Linked DNA regions of Rhinolophus ferrumequinum. The protein of the gene in region 2 purifies or fractionates together with the protein of the main gene of each other region. This does not show direct contact. Links are inferred from orthologs where the notes say so. Each region holds a gene or a part of one and is shown on either strand. Other genes may lie near its edges. The genes, in order: FAM98A, RACGAP1 and KIF23.

The links.
Region 1: the proteins of RACGAP1 (region 2) and FAM98A purify together in Homo sapiens (co-immunoprecipitation; 3 studies listed by BioGRID and IntAct, with this or other methods). This does not show direct contact. The link is inferred for Rhinolophus ferrumequinum from reciprocal best matches to the Homo sapiens genes RACGAP1 and FAM98A.
Region 3: the proteins of RACGAP1 (region 2) and KIF23 purify together in Homo sapiens (co-immunoprecipitation; 10 studies listed by BioGRID and IntAct, counting the BioPlex papers as one, with this or other methods). This does not show direct contact. The link is inferred for Rhinolophus ferrumequinum from reciprocal best matches to the Homo sapiens genes RACGAP1 and KIF23.

Annotation. Positions count from the first base shown.
Region 1 is NC_046296.1:48,577,083-48,584,600, reverse strand, and holds the start of FAM98A (protein FAM98A), read right to left. Parts: upstream 3,054-7,518; 5' UTR 2,944-3,053; coding exon 2,891-2,943; intron 325-2,890; coding exon 176-324; intron 1-175. UniProt on the Homo sapiens protein: Positively stimulates PRMT1-induced protein arginine methylation. Involved in skeletal homeostasis. Positively regulates lysosome peripheral distribution and ruffled border formation in osteoclasts.
Region 2 is NC_046293.1:50,834,169-50,841,757, reverse strand, and holds the start of RACGAP1 (rac GTPase-activating protein 1), read left to right. Parts: upstream 1-4,510; 5' UTR 4,511-4,525; coding exon 4,526-4,528; intron 4,529-5,518; exon of another isoform or gene 5,519-5,522; coding exon 5,523-5,607; intron 5,608-7,589.
Region 3 is NC_046289.1:42,207,128-42,214,634, forward strand, and holds the start of KIF23 (kinesin-like protein KIF23), read right to left. Parts: upstream 3,053-7,507; 5' UTR 2,887-3,052; coding exon 2,876-2,886; intron 574-2,875; coding exon 504-573; intron 1-503.

The DNA.
Region 1 (7,518 bases), on a different chromosome or scaffold from region 2:
CGAATCACCTTTCTCTAAAAACAATGGAGACAAAAAAAGTATTTGGTTTCTTACAATTTTTTTTTTTATATTTAGATAGAATTTGAAATTTTAGCTTTAGTACTGATAAATGTTCAACTGATAATGCCTCAATTTTATTTGTATATTTTGCATCTAAAACTGAATGTTTACTTACTGTTAGTTGCTTGCACATTTTCCTCCAGTTTACAGAGCACTCTTAATTCAGACACCAGCCAAGCACAGAGTTTGGTAAACTCAGGGGAACTGGCTCCAGCAGAGACTGCCTGAGACAGAGCGCCATCTTCTAACAATGGACCCTTGTAACTGGTGAGTTAAGAAATCACAGTTCAGAAAAACATAAAATCACACCTAATATATTAGACACAATATATCTATGTATTATTTGTATAAGTAAGCAATAGTTTAATAACAATAAGTTGTGATGACCAATTTCTAAACTTGTAAATACAAATAAAATTTAGAACTACACTAAACCATTAGAAAAACAAGGTAAGTGGTAACTGTATTTCAACCCTTCAAAAGATATGTGAATGTTTAATAGAATCAAATATACTAAATTATATCAACTTCTATACATTTACTGACAACTCTTATGTACAAAGTTTTATTTTCTTACTTTAACTGAACTGAGTATTAAAACCAGATTTAATAAGTGATAGCTAGTTATACTATAGTTTATTATTTCAGAAATAAAAAAAAATTTAGGTTATCTTTTCTAGATGTTTTTCCAAAAATAAATTAGGTTTTTAATAACCTTCTTTAAAAACAAAAATTTTCAAATTAATCATTTATTTATTTTTTCTATATTTAATGAGTTAAGACTAGTAAGATATACTAGTACCAGAGAAATGTCAAGATTGATTTAATAATTTCTGGCGAGTTGATGTTAGGGTGAACTGGTACAAATGAATCCGAATCTTTTGTAAGTAATTCAAATGTAATTCTAAAAAATTATTAAACATTCAAACAATCATAAAAGACAATAGTAATAATGAACCCCAATCTAGAATATGGCTAGAATTAAAGATTTCGTCATTTTCAAAGTAATTTTAAAATATATATTCTCCAGAAAATTATCTTCTTTTAAATGAAATACTAATAAACAGCTATTAAAGATGATATATGAAACGTGCTTTAGATAATTCAATGTTTTGAGGTACAGAGTTGTTAGAGAAATGACAATACTCAATCCTTTTAAAATACAATTACATGTTTACACATTGAATGGAGTGGAAAGTGTTGCACAAAAATTAGATTATATATACTCTTGGCATCTAAATTCAAAACCGCACATTATTAGACACTGGGATGCAGAGAGTAGGCCTAGAAATTTCTCGTGTTACATATTTAGATTTTGTTAGTTTATTCTACAGGGAAGAAACAGTATCCATCACCAATTGTTAGGTGACCTCTATCTACGCAGAACAACTGCATTTAAATAAGGTCTACCTTGTCCTCTCATCCTACTGCTCTTTCAACACTCAAGTATCACTTCTAAGAAGCTTCTAGGACTTCCTATTGCAGTAAAGGGGCTCTCCCCAAATTGTCCCATGGTGTGAACCTCTCTTTCACCTCACTTTGTATTCATAAATGCTCAGCCCAACACTGCCGCAGAACAAGCATTCCTCAAAAATATTTACTGAATGAATAGATTCATGTGTGAGCAAGTATTTAGTCGGAGATGTCCACCAAAAGAGGCCACTTTGCTGAATGTGACTTTTACTTACGCTCTAATGGAAGAAATAAGTCCCTTAAAGTCTGGAATATTCATGAAAATTCAGAGCAAGTGCCGACAAAAGAACAACGGTAATTCACTTTGACAAAGAAGGGTGATGAGTACTCTCATCTAAAAACTTCTACCGGGCCAGACTTTGGGAACCCTCCCAGTGTCCTTTCCTAAAGGTTTCCCTCAAACGTTTCCATGTTATACAAAAGCCGAGGGAAAGGTTTTGATAAAGGACATGTTATTTTATAATGACAGCCAGCTAAGTCTGTCATTTTTTGACCCATACCTATAGACAAATATTTAATCATACACTTTGTTTCTGGAAGCACGTTTAGCCCAAGAGGTTCTTAAGTTTTCAAGTTTTAATCGAGTACACTGATCTGGGTGACCCAATGCAATAAGAAGCCCTATTTTCAGCTTCTAGGTATGAATTGTGATTATCCAACCATAACTGTCAGGAGGAGAGACAAAATGCACAACAAATATGCAGGGACTTGGGGGTGAAGATGACCCTAAGGGTAAGGGCTACTAACAATAACGGCTCAGAGAAGCAGAGAGTCCCAGTCAAGGGAAACTGCCAGTGGTTCCCATGGACGTGACAGGTTCGGAGCACGAGTGAGCTGGCTGGCGGGACGGATGCAGCTGCACAGACATGTGGCTGGGTGCATGCAGAGATGACTGGGCAAAGGAGATTTTTTTGAAAGAAGTGGGGTGAGGTAGGAGTAGGGGCTCAAGACAGGAGTAGAAAGTTTGGAGGACAAGCAGGAAAACACAGAATCAACTTTGGCAACCTCTAGGGTGAGGACATAGGGCAGGAGGATGGGGAGCAAGCAAGGAGAGAAGCTCAGGGAGGGGGGTGGCGAACACCAGAGCCCAGACAATGACACGCATGACTGACAAACGCTGCGGGGAACTCGGCTGCAGGGAGCACAGAAAAGGCCTAGGGGCGTCGCATGTGTAGGGCTCCGACCCGGTAGGGCAGAGAGTGGACGTGGCACTGGGGTCCCGGAGCCGCAGGGGGCGAAAGCCAGGAGCCACGGGGTGCGGTGTGGAGAGACAGGTGTCTCCGACTAGGGCGCAGGAGGTGTTCCCCGGGGACCGGCACTGGGGGTTTTGGGAGACCCCATGCCCTGGCAGTCTTACCCGAGATCTTCCAACGACTCCAAGATGTCAGTCTCCATGAGGTCACACTCCATGCTACTGTGGTATTCAAATTTCCGAGTCGTCAGGCTCCCCTCTTCGCCGGCAACGCGTACACTCACGCATGCGCTGCCTCCCCGGAACTTCCAAATCGACAGCTGGCGCCTCAGTGCCCGCACTGCGCATGTCCCGAGCGTGCGCAACAAACTTAGTCCCGCCTGCTTCCCCACCCCTGCGGGAGGAAAGATTACCGGGTGGCACAATGCTGCACATGCGTATTACTGAATAGTGACGCCGGCTGCCCAAAGAAGGGCAGGAGGACTGGCTGCGTGGCAGCAGGGCGTGGGGACCAGGAGAGGGAGGAAAGTTCTAACCTCTCTCTAAATTGGGTGTACGCATGTGCGAATCTTGGGGAGAGGAGGGCGGGGTAGGAGCTTGGGGGTCTCTAGATATGGGTGGGTGTTGGCTGTGAAACAGTCTCTGCGTCCCAAGGAGTAGCCCGAGTGGCTGTCTGCAGCCTGCCAGCGTAGTCTAGCCTTAGCTGTGGGTCCTGAAGAGACGGAAAATTCATGAGCTCCGGTTTAATTCCTTAGGACGGGTAGACCGACCAAGTGCTGAGACGGGCAGATAACATGCCTTTTGGTATCCTTGTGGCTGCAGTGGCTGTATTTCAGGATGAGGGAGGAGTCAACTTTCTTTTGACTTGGACGCATTGGGGAAGTTGTTGCGTTCGCCCCTTTGCATTCTTCTTAAGCCCTTCCCAGACTAAGCATCTTATTTTGGGGGGAGGAGAGGGAGGAGGGCCGACAGAGGAGGGCTTCACTCTGTATTAAATAGAATATATTTAATAGTGAATAAACTTTTAATTTGTAATGCAATTGCTTTTGACATTATTTGGTTGGGTGTGACGTTCAGTTCACGAGGGGTTATGATTTCTTGGCAGTTGTTGGTTGGGTATATGCTTAGAAGTTATTAAAAATGAAAAAAAATGTTTTCTAAGTGAGGACATATTTAGAGAATTCTATTTAACACAAATTGACATAATGTATTGTGTAGGCATTTAATTCGTTTTCACATTGGTACCAGTAGATTTTATTTTGCGGTTCTCAAACATTTTCATGTCGAATGGATAAATGCCCCCTATACCTTTTTTTTTATTTCCTTATTTTGCATCATCTAGAGTGGGGGAAGGAGTTAACATTTATAATGTAGCCAAAGTGTGCTTGACATGGTATTACTCCCGTGATCCATATTGTTTTATGCAATCATCATAGGGCTGTGTATGTATTACTCGCATTTTACAGATTAGGACACAGGCTCAGTGGCTTCATGATCTGTGAAAATGGTAAGACCAGTACGGACTGTATTTTGAGACTGAGGCATATCTGAATCAATATTCCTTCTCATTTGACTAGTCAAATAAGGTTTTATAAGCAGGACGTGAAAAGATAGGAAGATCAAGCTAGTTGAATTTGTTTCAGCTTATATATGTTGTACATAATTACCTTATAATAAAAATGGAATAATCATTTGTTCTCATAAGGTTGTCTAATGTGCTAAATAAAAAGTAAGGCTTAATTCACAATCAATTTGAGAAAACAAAGGTTCACTTTTCCGTGTAAGTTGTAACATATACTATTATTAGTGAACAAGTGGCGATCATTTCTCCTTCCATCACCATATATTTGATCGCTTTTACCCTCATCTACCACCACCCTCCTCCCTTTCCCTCTGGTAACCACTAAAATATTGTTTGTGTCTATGAGTTTTGTTTCTTTATTTGTCTTGTTCCTTTGTTGTTTTCAGTTTTATATCTTACATATCAGTGAAATCAGATGGTTCTCGATTTTTTCTGTCTGACTTATTTCACTTAGCATAATAATCTAAATATCCATCCATGTTATTGCAAATGGCACTGTTTCACCTTTTCTTATGGCAGAATAGCATTCCATTGTGTATATATACCACATTTTCTTTATCCAATCATCTGTCGAAGGACACTTTGGTTGTTTCCATGTCTTGGCCACTGTAAATAAAGCTGCAATGAACATCGGAGCACATATATCTTTATGGATAAATGTTTTCAGAGTTTTTGGGTATATAGCCAGGAGAGGGATTGCTGGGTCATATGGTAATTCTATTCTTAATTTTTTGAGGACTCTCCACACTGCCTTCCATAGCAGCTGCACCAATCTGCATTCCCACCAACAGTGTAGGAGGGTTCCTTTTTATCCACAGCCTCTCCAACACTTGTTATTAATTGTCTTGTTGATGATAACCATTCTAACTGGTGTGAAGTGATAGCTCATTGTAGTTTTTGTTTGCCTTTCACTGATGATTAGTGATGTTGAGCATCTTTTCATATGTCTGTTGGCCATCTGTACATCAGGTATCTTTGAGAGATGAGTTTTTTCTGTGTTGAAGATGTTCAACTCGAAATCATGAATGATCTTAAAGACCAGCCTTTTCTGGTCTTGAAAAGAGTAAAGTGAAGTCATAGTTTATACTACTGAAAAAATATAGAGGAGAAAATTGAAATGAAAACTGATATCAATTTTCAGACGAGCATCTTTTTATGTCATAACCTTAAAGGTTATTATAAGAGAAATTTTGAATTATGTAGTTAAATTTATGCAGCTGAGAGTCTTAAGAAAGTTATTTATAAAACGTATAGAAGGGTAATTTTTATAACGGCAATGAAGTAGGTGTATATTTGAACATAAGGTTTGTCATTTGTCATAGAACGGTTTCTAAATCTTGATTAAATAAGCACCTAAAATAATTTTTCTTTCTCAGATAAAAGAGGCTGAAAAATAGCAGCATTTCCCAGTTTTAATGAATTTGCCTTTAGAATGGCCCTCCAACAAGGAGAAAATGAGAAAAACCATAGATTTGCTCATGTTGCATGAAATAAGATTTGTATATGCTACTAAATAAAGTCTTTTCAGCTTGCTCGCTGAAAATAGTCCTTTTTTTCTGTCTAAATATTGGTATGTAGAATTAATCTTGAAGGGTCTCAAATACCCTTATATCACTAAATAATGCTGTTTTTTAGATCACGCCTCTAGTGATGTTAGTATATTTTCTGAACCCAGGCAATTTTTAGAGATTTACAAAATTTGAGAACAGTATCTTGCCTATGTTTAACTTGAGGAAGAGGTATAGATATGGATAAAGATATACAGATGATTAGAGATATAGATATAAACAAATATTTCTAGAATAAAAGCTCCAAACTTGATTTGTTTGTCCAGCCCAGCTTAAGCCTACTGGGCCATGTTCTGCCAACCTGTGAATCAGGCACATAGTGAACCAGATAAACACTGGTCTAATTTGGGTGCAGTAAGAGTTTACTAGACTCTGGCCCAGAGGTGATAAACTAGCATTCATATCAGTCTAAGAGTTGTGGGAGTTAAACTGACAAAGATTAACAGAAGAAAAAGCATACAAATTTTTATTGATGTTATGACTTTTGTAATGTTTCACAGAAAAGACATGAAAACCCCAAAGATGTAGTTAAGACTTGAGAGTTTATAAACCATTTTAACAAAGAGTGATAAATTGTGGAGAAGTGACTAAACAATGAAAGGGGTTTTAAGCATCTAGGGGTGGTAAATTGTGGGAAGATACATGTATGGGGAAACTAATGGAAGACAAGGGTTATTTTTATAAGGTTTGTCTGTGCAGACTCCTTTCGAAGCCAACTTTCTTCATTATCAGAAGTTTCTGCTTTTTGTCAGATAATGGAAGCTCTGAGAAGACTTGCCAAAGTTGATTCTCTGTTTTCCTGCTTGTCCTCCAGACTTCTATTGATTCTCAATTGCCTTCGGCTCTAAATAATCCATATGCCGAAGTGTCATATTTGGGATGGCATATTCTGATCTTCACTAGTCACATGAAACTTCTACTATTCACTTAACACACCTTGCTCTTCTATGCCTGTATACTTTTGGACAAGTTGTTTTTTTCAGCCTGGAATCCCCTTTCCTTCATTCTCTGTCTGGCAGTTTCCCCCTGCCCAATCTTTAAGACTGAGTTTGGGGGAAACCTTCTCCGACTGCCTGAGGCACTCATCCTTTATCTCCCAAAGCTTCCTTAACACTTCTTCCCAGATAACATTCCTGTTCCAGGCCAGTCCACAGATACCCTTTGTTCTCTCTGCTGCTTTGCTTCCGTTCTATCTCATCCTCAAGGCTTAGATCAGTTTCACCGTTCCACAAGAATGTGTTCCCTGAGTGTGCTGGTTAAAATTAATTTTCCTACTGCTAATATAGCAGTGCCTACTTGATTGTCATAATCATGTGGGGGAGTTAAATTCAGATTCCTGGGCTCTGCCTCTGATGGTTTCGTAATTAGTCCTTCAAAATCTAACATTTATTAATGTTATATTTTTATGTGACTTAATAGGTTCTGACCTTTTCTATTCAGTTGCTATAAAACCTTGCACATCCTACATATTGCTTAGTACATTGATGCATACACACTAGGCATAAAATTGTTGATTAGTTGATTGACAAGAAAATGTTTCCTTTCTCTTGACCAGATTTTGCTTTCTTCTGAAAGAATAAAGTGATTCTTCACAGGGAATGAAAAAGTATGCAACAGTGAATTATGCGCTGAGCTCTTGGATC
Region 2 (7,589 bases):
CTTCGGTGAATTGTTAAGACTTATACTAGATGTTGAAGAATGGAACACTTCAGAATAGGAATTCACAGAAAGTCAAAAAAAAAAAAAAGGAGAACTTAGTATACTGAACTGGTAATAATTTTCTGAAAAATAATCATTCAACTCATCCTTTATTTTAGTCTTCATGTTGGACTGAGGATGGTCTATTTACTCTTTCTGCAATTGGATTGCTCATAAGAACATTTGGTTTCAAGATATTCCTTCTGCCTGCCAGTTGTATCGAGGCTTTTGATGTGTGAAACAGAAGCTGGACATTTGGGATGAAGAATTGTTCGGAAATGCTTTCATAAAAGAATCCTATAGTATTAGGACTGTCTTAGGGAATGGTTTTCCTTAGCAGCAGAGAACCTGTATTGTTGATTTCTTGGGGGATCTCTGCATTTAGTGTTTGTGAGAACGTTTTTCATTAAAACTCTCAAGCAACCTTCCATTGCTTTGTCTTACAATATTTAACACCCTTGATACATCTAAAAAAGATGATGTATACATCTCTTAATAACGTTGTTTGTAGTGGGAGGAAGAAGATAGAGACTTCCCCCAGGATACTCTGCAGTGAAGATCTGTAGTAGTCTGTTATTCTGAAGGATGATGTCTGTCTCTTGGCTGGGTGATTGAAATTAAATTGGGGACTCAAAGCAATCACATCGAGCTGAGTGAGACTCTTTCCTGGTGATGCACAATTGCTCCCTTAGGGATACTCACAGATTGGGAATCTGTAACATAGTGACTTCTCCACCTCTGGGGCTTCTCATCAATAACAGCTGAGATTTTGTAGCACCTTTTTGTTTCAAGTGCTCCACAAACTGATTTCCTTGCTCCACACAGGGATCATTTCAGCTTTCCCGAAAGGCAGCTGCCTCTCTAGTGAAAAGTGACAGCTGTTTTACAGCTCCAAAGCAATGTACTACAATATGACTTTGTTTTTGTTTCCTTTCACATTAGTGTATCTCCTAGCTATGGAGCTAAATAATAAAGGGGGAGAAATAAAGAAGTATTCATGAGGTGAAAATGTGACCCAGCAGGAAAATTAAGACCATTTTCAGTTGACATTGAATAGCGTGAGTAACTTTTAACATTTCGAGTTACAATTTGGCTGAGATATCATGGTTAGTACTGATGCAGAGAGCTATTTTTGTCATCTATAAATAATTCCTGAGCGTCAGTTCTATAGAACATTAATAAAAATGCATGATGGTCCCCCAACATATAAAGAGAAGATTCCTGGTGCCTTTTTCGGATTACCTTACATAAACCTATGTTAGAAAGAAAAGTAACTCTTCTCAGATGCTACAAGTCTCGTGTAGAACAACTTGTTAAAGAACCTAGACCTGGTCAAATTTTGCTGTCTCCCCCATTCTTTTTGGTCTGGGTTCCAGCTATGATTTGGTAATCCCTATTCTAGGGTGTAAATAACTATCAGACCAAAGCAAAAACAAAAATTTCATACATGCTATAATACCCTACATTTTATAGTAAGGTTCAATTTATACATTATAAAACTTTTAAACTACATTAATTGATAATATTCTGTGAGGTGAATAGGACAAGTATTACTGTTCCCATTTATAGATGAGTCTCAGAAATTAAGTGACTTACCAAAGGTTATACAACTGGTAAATAGAAGAACTAAAACTATCCCAGCACTTCTTTTAGTCCCCACCTGCCCCCCTTTTCTTAACTGTTCTTTTTGTTTGTATCTGTATCACACATTAATGTTCAGGTAGAATGGGTGTGTGTGTGTGTGTATGTGTGTTCTCTGACTTTTATAAAATATTTTTAAATACTTAGTGTGTGTATGTGTAATACAGTAGTGCCAAATAAACGTAAGGTTTTCCCTCTCACATTTACATGGTAAAGTTAGAGTGCAAGGAGTGTGTGTCTGAGTGCCAACTGAGCAAAGGGGGGTGGGGGGAGATGAGTTGAAGTGAGAGGATGACCTGTCAGTGACAAGGGTTTGGTAAGAGCACATGAGAGAAGAGTCCCCAAGGTTTGGTGATTGTATCTGTGGGAAAGGGACTGACTTAAGGTGATTCTGAGATTTGGAACTGGGTGACCGGGAGAATGATAAAAATAAGGGAATCAAAATTGGGAGTCAGTAGGGTAAGGTCAGTGGGTAGGGTAGTTGACGCTGGACAGTACGTATTGCTTCATGACGGGATACATTGTAGAGGGTGTTATTTTGAGAAATGCGTTGGATGATTCTGTCATTGTGTGAACATCATAAAGTGAGTGCACTTACACACACCAGGGTTTCGTCTATGTCACACGGCCTGTTGCTCCTGGGCGACAAGCCTGCACAGTACGTTAGTACTGAATACTGTAGGCAACTGTACCACGATGGTTAGCATTTGTATGTCTAAACATAGTAATGATACAGTCAAAATACCATGTAAAAGATTAAAAATGGCACACCTGTATAGGGCACTTACCATAAATGGAGCTTGTAGGACTGGAAGTTTCTCTGGGTGAGTCAGAGTGAGTGGGGAGTGAGTGCAGGCCTAAGACGTGACTGTCCACTGCTGCAGACTTTATGACACTGCACACTTAGGCTGCGCTACGTTTATACATTTCCTTCTTCAATAATAACTTAACCTAGCCGACTGTAACTTTTACCTTACGTATATGAGGGGGAAAGATAGAACAGGGTCTGAAAATCAAGCTCAAAATCTCGGGGATGCAAATTGAGAGCTCCAGGATTGGCATTCGCGAGGCTGGGGCTGGCGAGATAAATGGGTGATTTGTCTGTAGAGATGTGATGATTGAAGTGGGGGCATTTGACCTGTTCTTCAGGCGGTTGGAGGGTTGAACTTTCGGCATGTCTGGTGTTGAGAGAGAAGAACAGAAAAATCCATAATCAAATTATTTGTGAAACTCTAAATCTGGAGACTCGGACAGTCTGGACAGTTAGGGCTACCCCTGCTGTTCACAGTACAGCGCTGGGAGTTCAGTGAAACAACGATCTCCTAGCTGCTACGTAGGCGGCAGGTCAGGGGAACAGTGTAGATCAAGGCAGTTCTGTGAGAGAACAGTTATATGAGGAGATGTTCCCAGATAGGTTCTCAGTGTGTCTTTAGAGTTTTCAGAATCTGGTTGTGTTTTCCAGAGAGGACCTCCCCCAACCCTGACTCCAGGGAGTAGTATGCGCCAAACGTTGGAAAGAAGAATAATGGACTAGAGGAACTTGAGAAAATAGGAGGATTTCTTTTAAAGGGGCAAAGGATCAGGTTCTTGTATTGTCATTGAAGACAAAAACTTTCTGAATTTTTTTTTAAACAACTAGTTTTTAGTTGTACTATGAAATTTTCCTTTTCCACATTCTTGGAGAGAGAAGTTTTCCTGTGTACTGAGCTCATTGCCTTGGAATCTCAGAATATAGATGAATGCTGAGATGATAGAAATCAATACCCCATATTAAAAGTGTCTTCCATTTTTACTGGGAGCCCAAGGAAATCATCATTTGAAGAAGCTATGAATGCACTGCTCCTGCGTCTGCCCTATAGCATTTGAGTATATTTGCCTGTTTTGTCATGTTGTTAAATCACGGGCATCTCCATGACTTCCAGATCCAGATCTCTTGCTGCCAGTTGTTTTGTTTTGTTTTTTAAAATATTTTATTGGGGAAGGGGAACAGGAATTTATTGGGGAACAGTGTGTATTTCCAGGACTTTATTGGGGAACAGTGTGTTTTTTCCCAGGACCCATCAGCTCCAAGTCAAGTTGTTGTCCTTTCAATCTTAGTTGCGAGGGCGCAGCTCAGCTCCAAGTCCAGCTGCCGGTTTCAATCTAGTTGAGGGTGGTGGGGGGGCGGGGGGGGGCAGCCCACCATCCCCTGGAGGGAGTCGAACCAGCAACCTATTGTTGAGAGCACGTGCCCTAACCAACCGAGCCATCCGGCCGCCGGGAGCTCAGCAGCAGCTCAGCTCAAGGTGCCGTGTTCAATCTTAGTTGCAGGGGGTGCAGCCCACCATCCCTTGCTGGGCTGAGAGCAAGCACTCTAACCAACTGAGCTATCCAGCCGCCCCTCTTGCTGCCAGTTTTAATCTATTATTTTAGTTGTCTTCTTAGTTTAGAGGAAGATCTTTGTAATACATTTGTTGGTCTGGTTGCTTAGCAGCTTGTTGTGATTATGTAGCTTGGAACAGACACACTGCCATTTGAAAATCTTGGTTTCCGGCCCTGATTCAGGTATATATTGCATCCAAGGTTGGAATTGAAAGCTTTTTTGCTGTTAGAACAATCATCATACAAGTACAAATGAATAATTCTGTAGCATTTAATAGAAAATATCTTTATGTTTATATATTCCTTTGTCCTTTGCAGTTTTTTTTCCTTGCTTGCCCTCACAGCATATGGTACAATCTTACAAACATTGTAAAATCACTAAACCTTCATAAAAGAGTTCTTCAAATCTTATTTAGAGATGAAATAAGAACCTGGACAAGAATGTTGAAGGGGTGATTAGGCGAAACCTGAGAAGAATCCTTGAATGGTATTTCTGAGGACATTCAGTTGTTAAATGAAATTTGATGTTTTATTTCATTTCCTTGATAGTTTTTATAACATCCAGTTGATGTCTTTCTTTCTTGACTGTTAAATGAAGGTCTTATTTTCTCAAAGTGTTCCCATTTAATGTCCATTCGGAACTGCCAGTAAGGATACCATTTTTTAATGTAATATCAGCAGGTCTTTGGAGGGGGAAATATGAAGCCTGAAATTCACTATACTGAACACAGTAGCAAATGAGTTTTCCTTTGCCCTCCTAACTGTGAAGGTGGTGTATTGTCTCCTCGATGCCAGAATGTGGCACAACATAAGCCTTTGCCTGTACTTAGTGTAAATGTATTAGACATAGTCCCTGCACGCAGCCCAGCGGAGAGCCGTGCACTACAGAAATAATTCTTGTGCTGCTGAGCTGGCGGTTTCGCCACTTCATCTCTTGTGTGACGTCATCTGTGGTGGTGGTAGGAAATGTGCTGACCATGTCCTGCGTTTTAAAAGACAGATACAACAGGGGTACTAGCTAAAAATGAAATTAAAAAAATAAACCTTTTAGGTTATGTTGAAGGTCTTCAAAGTCCAGAAGGATTCAAGTGGCAGAAGGTGTTGTTAATCAATAAACTTGCCTAAGAACCACATTTTATAGTTGGTCACTTAGTAATCAACTGACCTGCTTATGTCTAATTGCTTTTCTCTCAGCTCCATAGTGATTGTAGAAGGGAGGAAAAGAAGTAGGCAGCAAAGGGGTTATATTCAGAGGTCGGAAATGCTTTTCTAATTTTCAAATGAGTGTTAAACATTCCAACGTTATTTTTACAATAAGGATTACACAAAACATCAATTGTTGGCTTGAGATTCTTATAACGGTAGCTACAAATGGAAGGTCCAGATGTTAGTCACTGGTGACTGGACTGGATTGCTGCTGAATCTTTTGTCTGGGGGAGAAGGCAGGATCCCTAATGTATATTTGATTTCTTGGCAGAAAGATGGATACTGCGATGCTGAATTTGCGGAATCTGTTTGAGCAGCTTGTACGCCGGGTGGAGATTCTCAGTGAAGGAAATGAACTCCGTAAGTCATTCTGAGTTGGCCTGTGTGAAGAGAGGAAACGTATTTCAGAGTTGAGTTTTCTATACAGCTGAAGCGTGTTCCAACCTTAAAACTGTTTTTTATGTGGGTTACTTACAAAGAATGTGATGGTCACTTATCCCTGGTCAAAGCTTAATGGACACTCACTCTAAATAGTCACTTTCTTCTCTAGTTCTTAACTGGGTTTTAGTTAGACTTTTTTCATTATTAAGTTTCTTTTTTCACTAAACAGTTTGCATTAGTTGCCAATTTTTGTACCATGAACTGGGCAAAATCTACTGGATTTCCAGGGATGTTGCTTTTTTCTTTAGTAATTGTCTACATTTTTTATCCTGGGCCTTTTCTGTGTTCTATAGAACATTTTCAGTTGAAGAGGAAAAAAATGTCATAACTTCTTTCGAAGGAGAAACTATTCATCTGCTTTTACCTAGTTCATATATTTGATGTTTAGTAATAAAGGCTTGAGATTGGGTGGAGAGCTGGGGGGAAATGGAGATGGTGAGAAAATAGTCGTCTGGAAAGCAGATTAGTGAAAAACGAAGGTGGGGCTGGTAGCACTGACTTAAGCAATCTATGGGAATGATTATTATTATTATTTTTAAACTTTTATTTATTTAAGTGTGTTTTTCCAGGACCCATCAGCTCCAAGTCAAGTAGTTGTTTCAATGTAGTTGTGGAGAGCGCAGCTCACAGTGGCCCATGCAGGGATCGAACCGGCAACCTTGTTGTTAAGAGCACCATGCTCTAACCAACGGAGCTAACCGGCTGCCCCAACGGGAATTATTCTTTACCAGCTTCTCTTTGTGCTGCCATCCTCTCCTATTTAAGATTTTCATTAACACCTAATTTAGTAAGTGTTGTTCTTAAGTCAGCCTCATTGATGTAAAAATAAGGCAAGAACTATGTCTTAAACAAAAAATTCCTATAGTGCTTAGTATGGCATCTTGCTTATGCCATTCAATATTTCCTTTAATTTGATTGATGTTTTTAATAGCTCTTATCCACTTACAGGCCTTTCAAAACAGTATTCTATTTTCTCTCTCTAATAGCTGTTGCATGACCCTATCATCTGGTACCAGCTCAGTAACCATGATGGCATACTAATTAGGCTTCTCTCTGAGGTCACATCATCTTAGAAGATGAATTACTTTGCAGTCTAGTGGGGGAAGAGTATTGAACAAGAGATCTGAAAATTCAGGTTCATTCAGCAAATATTTAGTGAGACCCTATCACAGCCTCTAGCACAGGTGGAATGGAGTGCAAGGGGTGACTAAATGGCATCATGGAGAAAAGTAGGGTTTGAATTGAGTCTTAGACACAGGGTAGGATCCCAACAGACAGAAATGAAGAGGACATTTAGGGTCCGGGGAAGAGCCTGAGTGGAGGCCAAAGGGTGAGGGGCTTGAGGAGAATAAGAGGAAGGGGGAGGGACCTAATCAGAGCTGTGCTTTTGGAAGCTTATGCTGGCAGAGGGGGAGGTTGCAGGAAAGGTGGAGGCTGGGAGACTGAGCAGGACATGGTTGTTGGTGCTCAGGAAAGAGGCAACAGGAATCCTAAGTGGGATGGTGGTTGTGAAAATGGAAGTAAGGGGAAATGAGTGGACGAGATTGTGAGAATAAGATCTCTAGGAGGAGGCAGCTGGTAGGAGTGGGGGCAGAGGGCAGAGTCTGAGGTTTGGAGCCTCAGTAACTTGTGCTGGCTTTTAACAGTTATTTCTGTTTGTTTCTCTAGCTGTAACATAGAAATTTAAATGTCTGTTTTCTTTGTGGGAGTGCTGTGAGGATTTGTAGATAAAATGAGATACTAGTTGTGAAGATACTTTGGAAGTAATTATGCCAAAAACTATACAAGATATTTATTTCTATAGATACCCTTATTATATAAGCAAATTTATATCTTCCCATTGTTTTCTGTTATAAAATAGAGGTACATTTTGCCTCCATCTCCAAATCTCCAACTTGGAA
Region 3 (7,507 bases), on a different chromosome or scaffold from region 2:
CAAGCCTGAACCTAGTGAAGTACATGCAATTATGAGTAGTCATTAGACTGAATTAACAGTTCTACATCAAAGTCTTAATGAAACTTGGTCCCCAAAAGCATGGAGTTTGGGGCTTTCCTCATGAAGGATGCCATCAGTTAGGGCTGAATAGTCCTAAAGATGGGAGAGGACGCTCATCCAAGCAGAAAGCTTTCCCCTGTCTCAGAGAGCACGAAGAATTCTCTGGGACAGTTGAAGATTTTTCATTATCTCACTTTTCAAATTATAATTAGTTATAAGAAGTATGCAATCAACAACCAAAAACTTCATTTTACTGGACTAATGAATCCAACATAGAAACAAAATTTCAAAGCTCGAACTAGCCTTAAGCAATTTAGTACAATCTTTTTAACTAAATGTTCTTTGACTCCACTTCCACATCTCCATCCCTTCTAAGGGTACACATAAGACATAAAAGGAATGAAGAGAAAATACACACACATAAATTTACAGGGAGACCTTACCCCAACTGGATCTTTAAGACTCGTTTGGGATCCTTTTTTCACTACAAGTTTCCTGGGCGTCTTACTCCTCCTAGACATAGATTTAAAAAAAAAAAAAAAAAATTTCACTTCAACACTAACATACAAAAACTTCACCTATAATTTACACAGAGACAAACTTCCTGGGCTTTTATAAAATTATTCCTTAGCAGTTCCAAAACACTAAACCCTAAATAACTAACACGAATAAGAATAAATTTCATTAGTATAAGAGTGTCTATGGTATGCATAATCCAAAAGTAATTGAAATTTGGTTTAAGAGACATTTATGGTACCCACTTACTCTAAATTTGCTCTTTTTAGATTTTTTTGGGGGGGCGAAGGAAGGGGGACAGGACTTTATTGGGGAACAGTGTGTACTTCCAGGGCTTTTTCCAAGTTAAGTTGTTGTCCTTTCAATCTTAGTTGTGGAGGGCGCAGCTCAGCTCCAGGTCCAGTTGCCATTGTTAATTGCAGGGGGCGCAGCCCACCATCCCTTGCTGGAGTTGAACCGGCAACCTCGTGGTTGAGAGCCCACTGGCCCATGCAGGAATGAACTGGCAGCCTTCGGCGTTAGGAGCACAGAGCTCCAACTGCCTAAGCCACCAGGCCGGCTGGTACCCACTTATTCTATATTAAAATAGCTTGGATATTTTCTTGAGCAACAATTTTACACAGGTACTACAAGTTTGAAAAATCTACAGATAATTGACTACACTTATCTTGAAAGACATTTACGTGTGTACAAGTACACACTGCACCAACAGCCATTGCCAAGGTAGACTGACAAGTGATTAACTTCAATAAAATTATAAAGAATGCAGATGGATGAGCCCATTCTTTTATCAAGATTTACATCTATACTTTCAAGGAATTGGTTATTGAATTCTCAAAACCTACCATCCTACCCCAAACAAAATGTGGTCCCTAAACTGCAATTTCTTGCTCTCTTTAGTGTTAAAAAAAAGGGGGAACAGGCCCCAAATGGAGTCACTGTCTAAGCCCACATCACCAAAACAAGGTTTAATAATAATCTAATTGCAGTTTCAGTCTCTCCCAGCAATGTAATCTCAGTCAGTCGGTATGGAATTTCCTGGTTAGCACTAATGAGGTAATCCACCTCATAGACCCCCGTGGTCACCAAAGGAAGGTGCCCTTGCCTGAAACAATGGGCTCTTTGCTTGTTCCTGCCCCCTTGTGCCTATAAAAGTCTCCCCTTTTGTACAGCAACTCAGATCTTTCTATTGCTAAATGGGATGCTGCCCGACTTATGAATTGTCGAATAAAGGCAGTAAGATTTTTAAAATTTACTCAGTTGAATTTTATTTTTTATCAGTAGGTACAGTAAAAGAAGATTGTTGTGATTTATTTCACCAATTCTCTGGCATGCTTCCCCACCCCGACCCCAATTTACCTATAGGCTGGATGAACATTTAACACTAAAGTTAAGTTAAATTATTGGCTTGGACCATAGATTATTAAAATAGTTTCTCAACATTTTCCCATGAAACAGAAGCAAACTGGTGTTTTAAGTGCAAAATATTATGATAGGTTTATTTCAATTCAACACTTTAAAAAAAAAAGATTTTGACTGTGGCCTCTTAAGAAAACAAGTAGCCTTTTGCAAACGAGTAGCTACAAGATAATTATAATTACAGTCAACCCTCTTCGGTGCAAAACTATTTCTTTACGCAGTAGCGGTCAAGGAATTATGCTTCGCGGAAAATGTACTGGATTTAGTAAGGAATGTGGGCGGTCAAAGAATAGGGCAACAGTAATCAGCCTATACAATGGGATGGTCTCGGCCTCCAGGCCACGGAGTGGGCTAACAAAACACGCAATGCTCACGACTGCCAGGGCTCTCCAGGGCCTGAGACCACCTAACGAACCCCAATACCAGACCCCAACACTCCGCCCCACCTGCGACACGACCTCGCACTAACTCGGCAAAACGCAACCTGGAGCGCGGGCGGCCCACAGCGAAAGGGAGAACTTAAGAAAATGTTGCCGGAGGCGTCCGGGAGCCAGCTGAATGGCGAGCGAGCTGAATGGCAACCAGCTAACGGGAACCGGCGTGGTGGCAGAAACCTCCCCCGACTTGGGGCCAACCTCTCCAGGCCGCGAGAGCCCGGAGCAGAGCGGCAGGCGCCGGGCTCGGGGTCCGGGATCGACCCGGCTGGGTCTCGGCGCCGTGGCTCCCCCTGAGCGGTCCACGTGCGGACTCCCACTTTGGGGGCTGCGGCCCGGGCAGCGCCGGGCTCCGTGCAGACTGCTCGGCCCCCTGCGGGGGGCGGCTTGAAGAGACGCCCACCCAGCACCGAGGCCCGGCCGGGGCTCCGCCGCCCCGTACTCACGCTGGCTTCATGGCAGCAGGCTCTGCGCTGCCCAGACACGCGCGCGGGACGCCGGGCTAGATGAGGAGGGCTGGCGAGGACTGCGGGTCGCAGAGAGCAGCCGTGGGGACCGGCACACGGCAGCTGAGGGACGGCGCTCAAACACTGCGGTGCCGAGACAAGACCAGGTGCGCTCGCGCCCGGCGCATTTCAAACAGGCCAATCAGCGCACGCCCGGGGGAGGGGCGGGGCCTCCGAAGAAGAGACTATTCTGCCGGAAGTGGCGTTCGTCTCCTAGGCGACCGACGCGGAAAAGGCGCGGAGAGTCTGGGTGTCTTTGCTGCGGGGCTGTAACCCAGATTTCAACATGAAATACAACGCTTTCCATTTCCGATGAGGAAATTGAGGGTTAATTTTCCCACAACACAAGAAGTCCAATGGAGTACCAGGTCCAGAATTGATTCATAAGTCAACACTATCGTTCTGGCCCACGAGTGTCCTATTCTTGTGCTGTGTGATGCTCAGTCTCAGACTCCCTCTCTGGCTTCCAAATCATATCATCTTGGCTTCCTTTCTCTCTCTCTTCTTCACATTTCCCGGGTTTTCCCTCTCTGGTTTCTTCAGCTCTTGCCTGTAGATTTCATTGTTATATCAGATTCTTAGCAATGTTTAATCCTGAGCATACAGAGACAAATAAAATTTGGTCTTTGCCTTGACCAGACGCCTCTTTTCTAAGATGAACTGATTCTGTCTCTCTTTGAACTTTGCCCCTAAATTGATGATTATCAAATAATGCATCTGCATCTGTGCTCTCATGGAACTCTAGTCACAGCTCCTCAACTTCCTACTGGACCAGACACCAATAAGGATAGACACCAGTAAGGATAGACATACTTTATTTATTTATTTATTTTAAAGATTTTATTGGGGCAGGGGAAGTGTGTACTTCCAGGATATTTTTCCAAGTCAAGTTGTTGTCCTTTCAATCTTAGTTGTGGAGGGCACAGTTCAGCTCCAGGTCCAGTTGCCCGTTGCTAGTTGCAGGGGGCGCAGCCCACCATCCCTTGTGGGAGTCAAACCAGCAGCCTTGTGGTTGAGAGCCCACTGGCCCATGTGGGAATCCAATCGGCAGCCTTCCCCCACTGGGCCGGCCCTAGACATACTTTTATATCCTTAGTTTGACATAAAGATGGTTCCAATATTTGCTATTACACAGTTACAGTGAATAAGCTTGGAATTAATCATTTTGCACAATGCAAGTAAATCTGGATGATGAATTCCTAGAAGCATAATTGCTGAGTCAGAGTATATGCATTCATGCTTCACAGATATTGCCAAATTGTCCTCTATACAGGTTGTCCGAATACAAAATCCCACCAGCCATGTATGAGAGTACCTGTTTCGCCACAATTCTCAGACAACAAAGTTGATCTAATAGGTGAAAAAAAATCACAATGTGGTTTAAATAATCTTTTATAATGAATGAAGTTGGGTGTCTGTTCATATATTAAAGAGCCATTTGTTTCCTTCTCTATGAACTATGCCTTTGCCTTCTTGTTCTATTGAGTTGTTCATTTTTCTTATTGATTTATAAAAGCTCTTCATATATTAAGAAAATTGGTCCTCACCCAATATGAGTTCAAATATTTTTATAGCTCATAATTTGGTTTTTACTTTATGTTGTTTTGTGACAGCTTAACCAAATTTATGTCTTTTATGTTTCGTTTTGTATCACACTAAGAAGTCTTCCCCACTCTGAGATAATTTTTAAAAATATCTTATATTTTATAGTGCTCTTATTCCTTTGTTTTTATGTTTAAGTCTTTGAACCATTAGAAATTTGTTTGTTAAGTAGTTGGGATCTGTATCATTTAGGAATTGGGCTTGGCTGCTGGCTACTTAATACTTAACTCTTAGTGACTCTTCAGTCTGGCTTTGGCCTCAGTCTCTCCATTGGAGCTCTTCTCACCAAGATCACCACCTTCTTGATGCCAAATCTAATTGACCCTTGCATACCCTTATTATCCAACTGCCTTCTGGATTCTCCACTTGGGTGTCCCACAGGCACCTCACACCTAACACATCTTAATCTCTTCCCCTGAACCTGCTCCCTGCCAGTGGATGGCATCACCATCTACCCAGCCACCCAAACCAGAGTCCAAGGTACCATGTTTGACTTTTGCCTCCCCTTCTACTCCAACATTCAATCACCAAATCTTGACAGTACTAATAGCCTTCAAACCTCTCCACTTCTCTCCAGCCCCTTGGTCACTACTATTTCTCATCTGGATGACTGCAACAGTATCATAACAAGCCTCTCTGCTGCTACCCTCCAATCCTGGCTCCATTTTGCAGCCAGCTCACCTCTAAATCACATATCTGATAATGTCACACCCCTGCTTATAACACTGCAGTAGCTTTCCATTGCTGGAAACTCTCACAAGGTCCCAAGTCTCTTCCTCTCCAAGCTCATCACCTATCATTAACTCCTGCAGCCCCCCTTTCCCCCAGCCAAATTGACCTTCAGTGCCCTGCACACAGTGGGCTCACACTCACACACCATTCCCTCTGCTGTCAAGCTCTCCTCCCTCCCTCGTCAGACAATGCCTCCTTATCCTCAGTTCTTAGCAGGTCTTCTGCCACCAACCCTGCTCTGGATGCTGGTCCCCTGCTCTATATCCACAGTCCCCTGCACTCCCCCAGTCACTGCACCTGTTGATTTGCTGTAAAGCTCACATCTCAATTTGCAGTGTCCTCTCCAGCTTGTGCCCACAGCCTCACTAGATGGCACTATTGCATCCCCAGTGCCCAACAATGGAAGTACTATATAAATGTTTAGAAGGAATGAATGAATCCATCCCTTTAGAGAACACCCCAGTCAAGGACCCAGTTACATCACAACACCCCCAGTTTTTGTTCAGGCCCATTTCTTCTTTCTCCCTCATTTCTGTGCATATTAAGCTCCCTGGCTTATTAATTTTCTTTAAAATGCCAATTCATTATATTGTTTTTCTGGCTGTCCCACAGGCACTTCACACCTAATACATTCTAATCTCTTCCCCCACCCCAAAGGCTCCCCACAACCAGTAAAAGATTGCTTTTCCCATTAGAAGTAGAGATCCAGACTAGAGGTAAGAATAGGAGAGAGAAAGAGTAGAACTGGGAGGCCTGTTTAAAAAACAACAAAAAATAGCTTTATTGAGGTATAATTTTATTGAGTAAAATTAACCATTTAGTTGTACCGTCTATGTATTTGACAAACACACACCATCCTGTAACCACCGCCACAATCAAATGCATAATATTCCCATCACACAAAAATTCTTGTGTGCTGTCCCCTTTGTAGTCAACCACCGTCCTCTACTCCCAGCTCTTGGCAACCACTTTTCTGACTTCCTTTGAGTTTTGTCTTTTCCAGAATGTCTCTTATTTGACTCAGCATAATAGTTTTGAGATTTATCCATGTGTTGCATGAACCAGTAATGTGTTCCCTTTTTTATTGCTTAGTAGTTTTCTATTGTATGACTGACTGCATGACAATTTATCCATTCATTAGTTCATAGAGTTTAGGTTGTTTCCACTTTTTGGCGATTATGAATGAAACTGGTATAATTATTTGTATAAAGGCCTTTATTTAGACATGTGTTTTCATTTCTCTTGGGTGGGATTGCTGGTGTTGTGCTAAGTGTAAGTTTAGCTTTATAAGAAACTGCCAAACTGGACTGTGAAGGTCTTATGTAAATCACTGAGAAGGAGCTAACACTACACAGATTTGAAACCATTATTAATTCAAGCACCTAACTAAGCAAGTCCAGCTATGGAAACCAAATCAACACCATTGACCAGAACCTACCAAAGCCCAGAATGTTTGAGGGAAGGTGGTAAAATGGAGACAGGACTGCTGTGGGAGCTGGGACACCCAACACACTCAACACCCAGGGAGAGAGGCCTCTCCCTGGCCCTGCTGTTCACTCAGTGGCCTTGGAAACATCATCTCACATTCCCAGGCTCTTTGTAAAACGAATGATTGGATGTTAATGTTTTATATTAAAAAATGAATAAAATCAACAAGCTTCGGGGGGAACTGTAAAATTGATACAAAAAGAAACAAATGATCCGAACCTTATTTCAAATGAATAACATACTGATATAGAAAGGAGGCTATAACTAACCCAAGTAATTAAAACTATTTAGACTATGTGCCCTCAAGCTCAAGACAAAAAGAACGGAAACATATATTGAATTCTAATTAGTAGGCTTTTTTCAGACAGGGGTTAGTGATTTTGAAATAACATTGTGTACACCCTAGGATTGAGCAAGTAAGTAAATACATTGTGGATAATGAAGCCAAGTTTTTCCCTGTTAGAGAAGAGGTATATAAATATTGAAATGAGGAAGGGTAAAAAGTATCTGGGGATTCGTTGTACTATTTGGGGCAACATTTTTGTAAGTTTGAAATTACATTTAAAAAAAAGGTTGGACTACATCAGCACTTCTTAAACTCCCGTATATGAAAAATTACCTAGGCTTTTGTTAGAAATATAAAATTCCAAGGAACGCTCCCGCCTCCATATTCTGCATCTTTTCATTTGTGAAGTCCTGAGAATGTGGATTTTACATCATCAAACACATTTTTTTTTAAGTGTGTTTTTC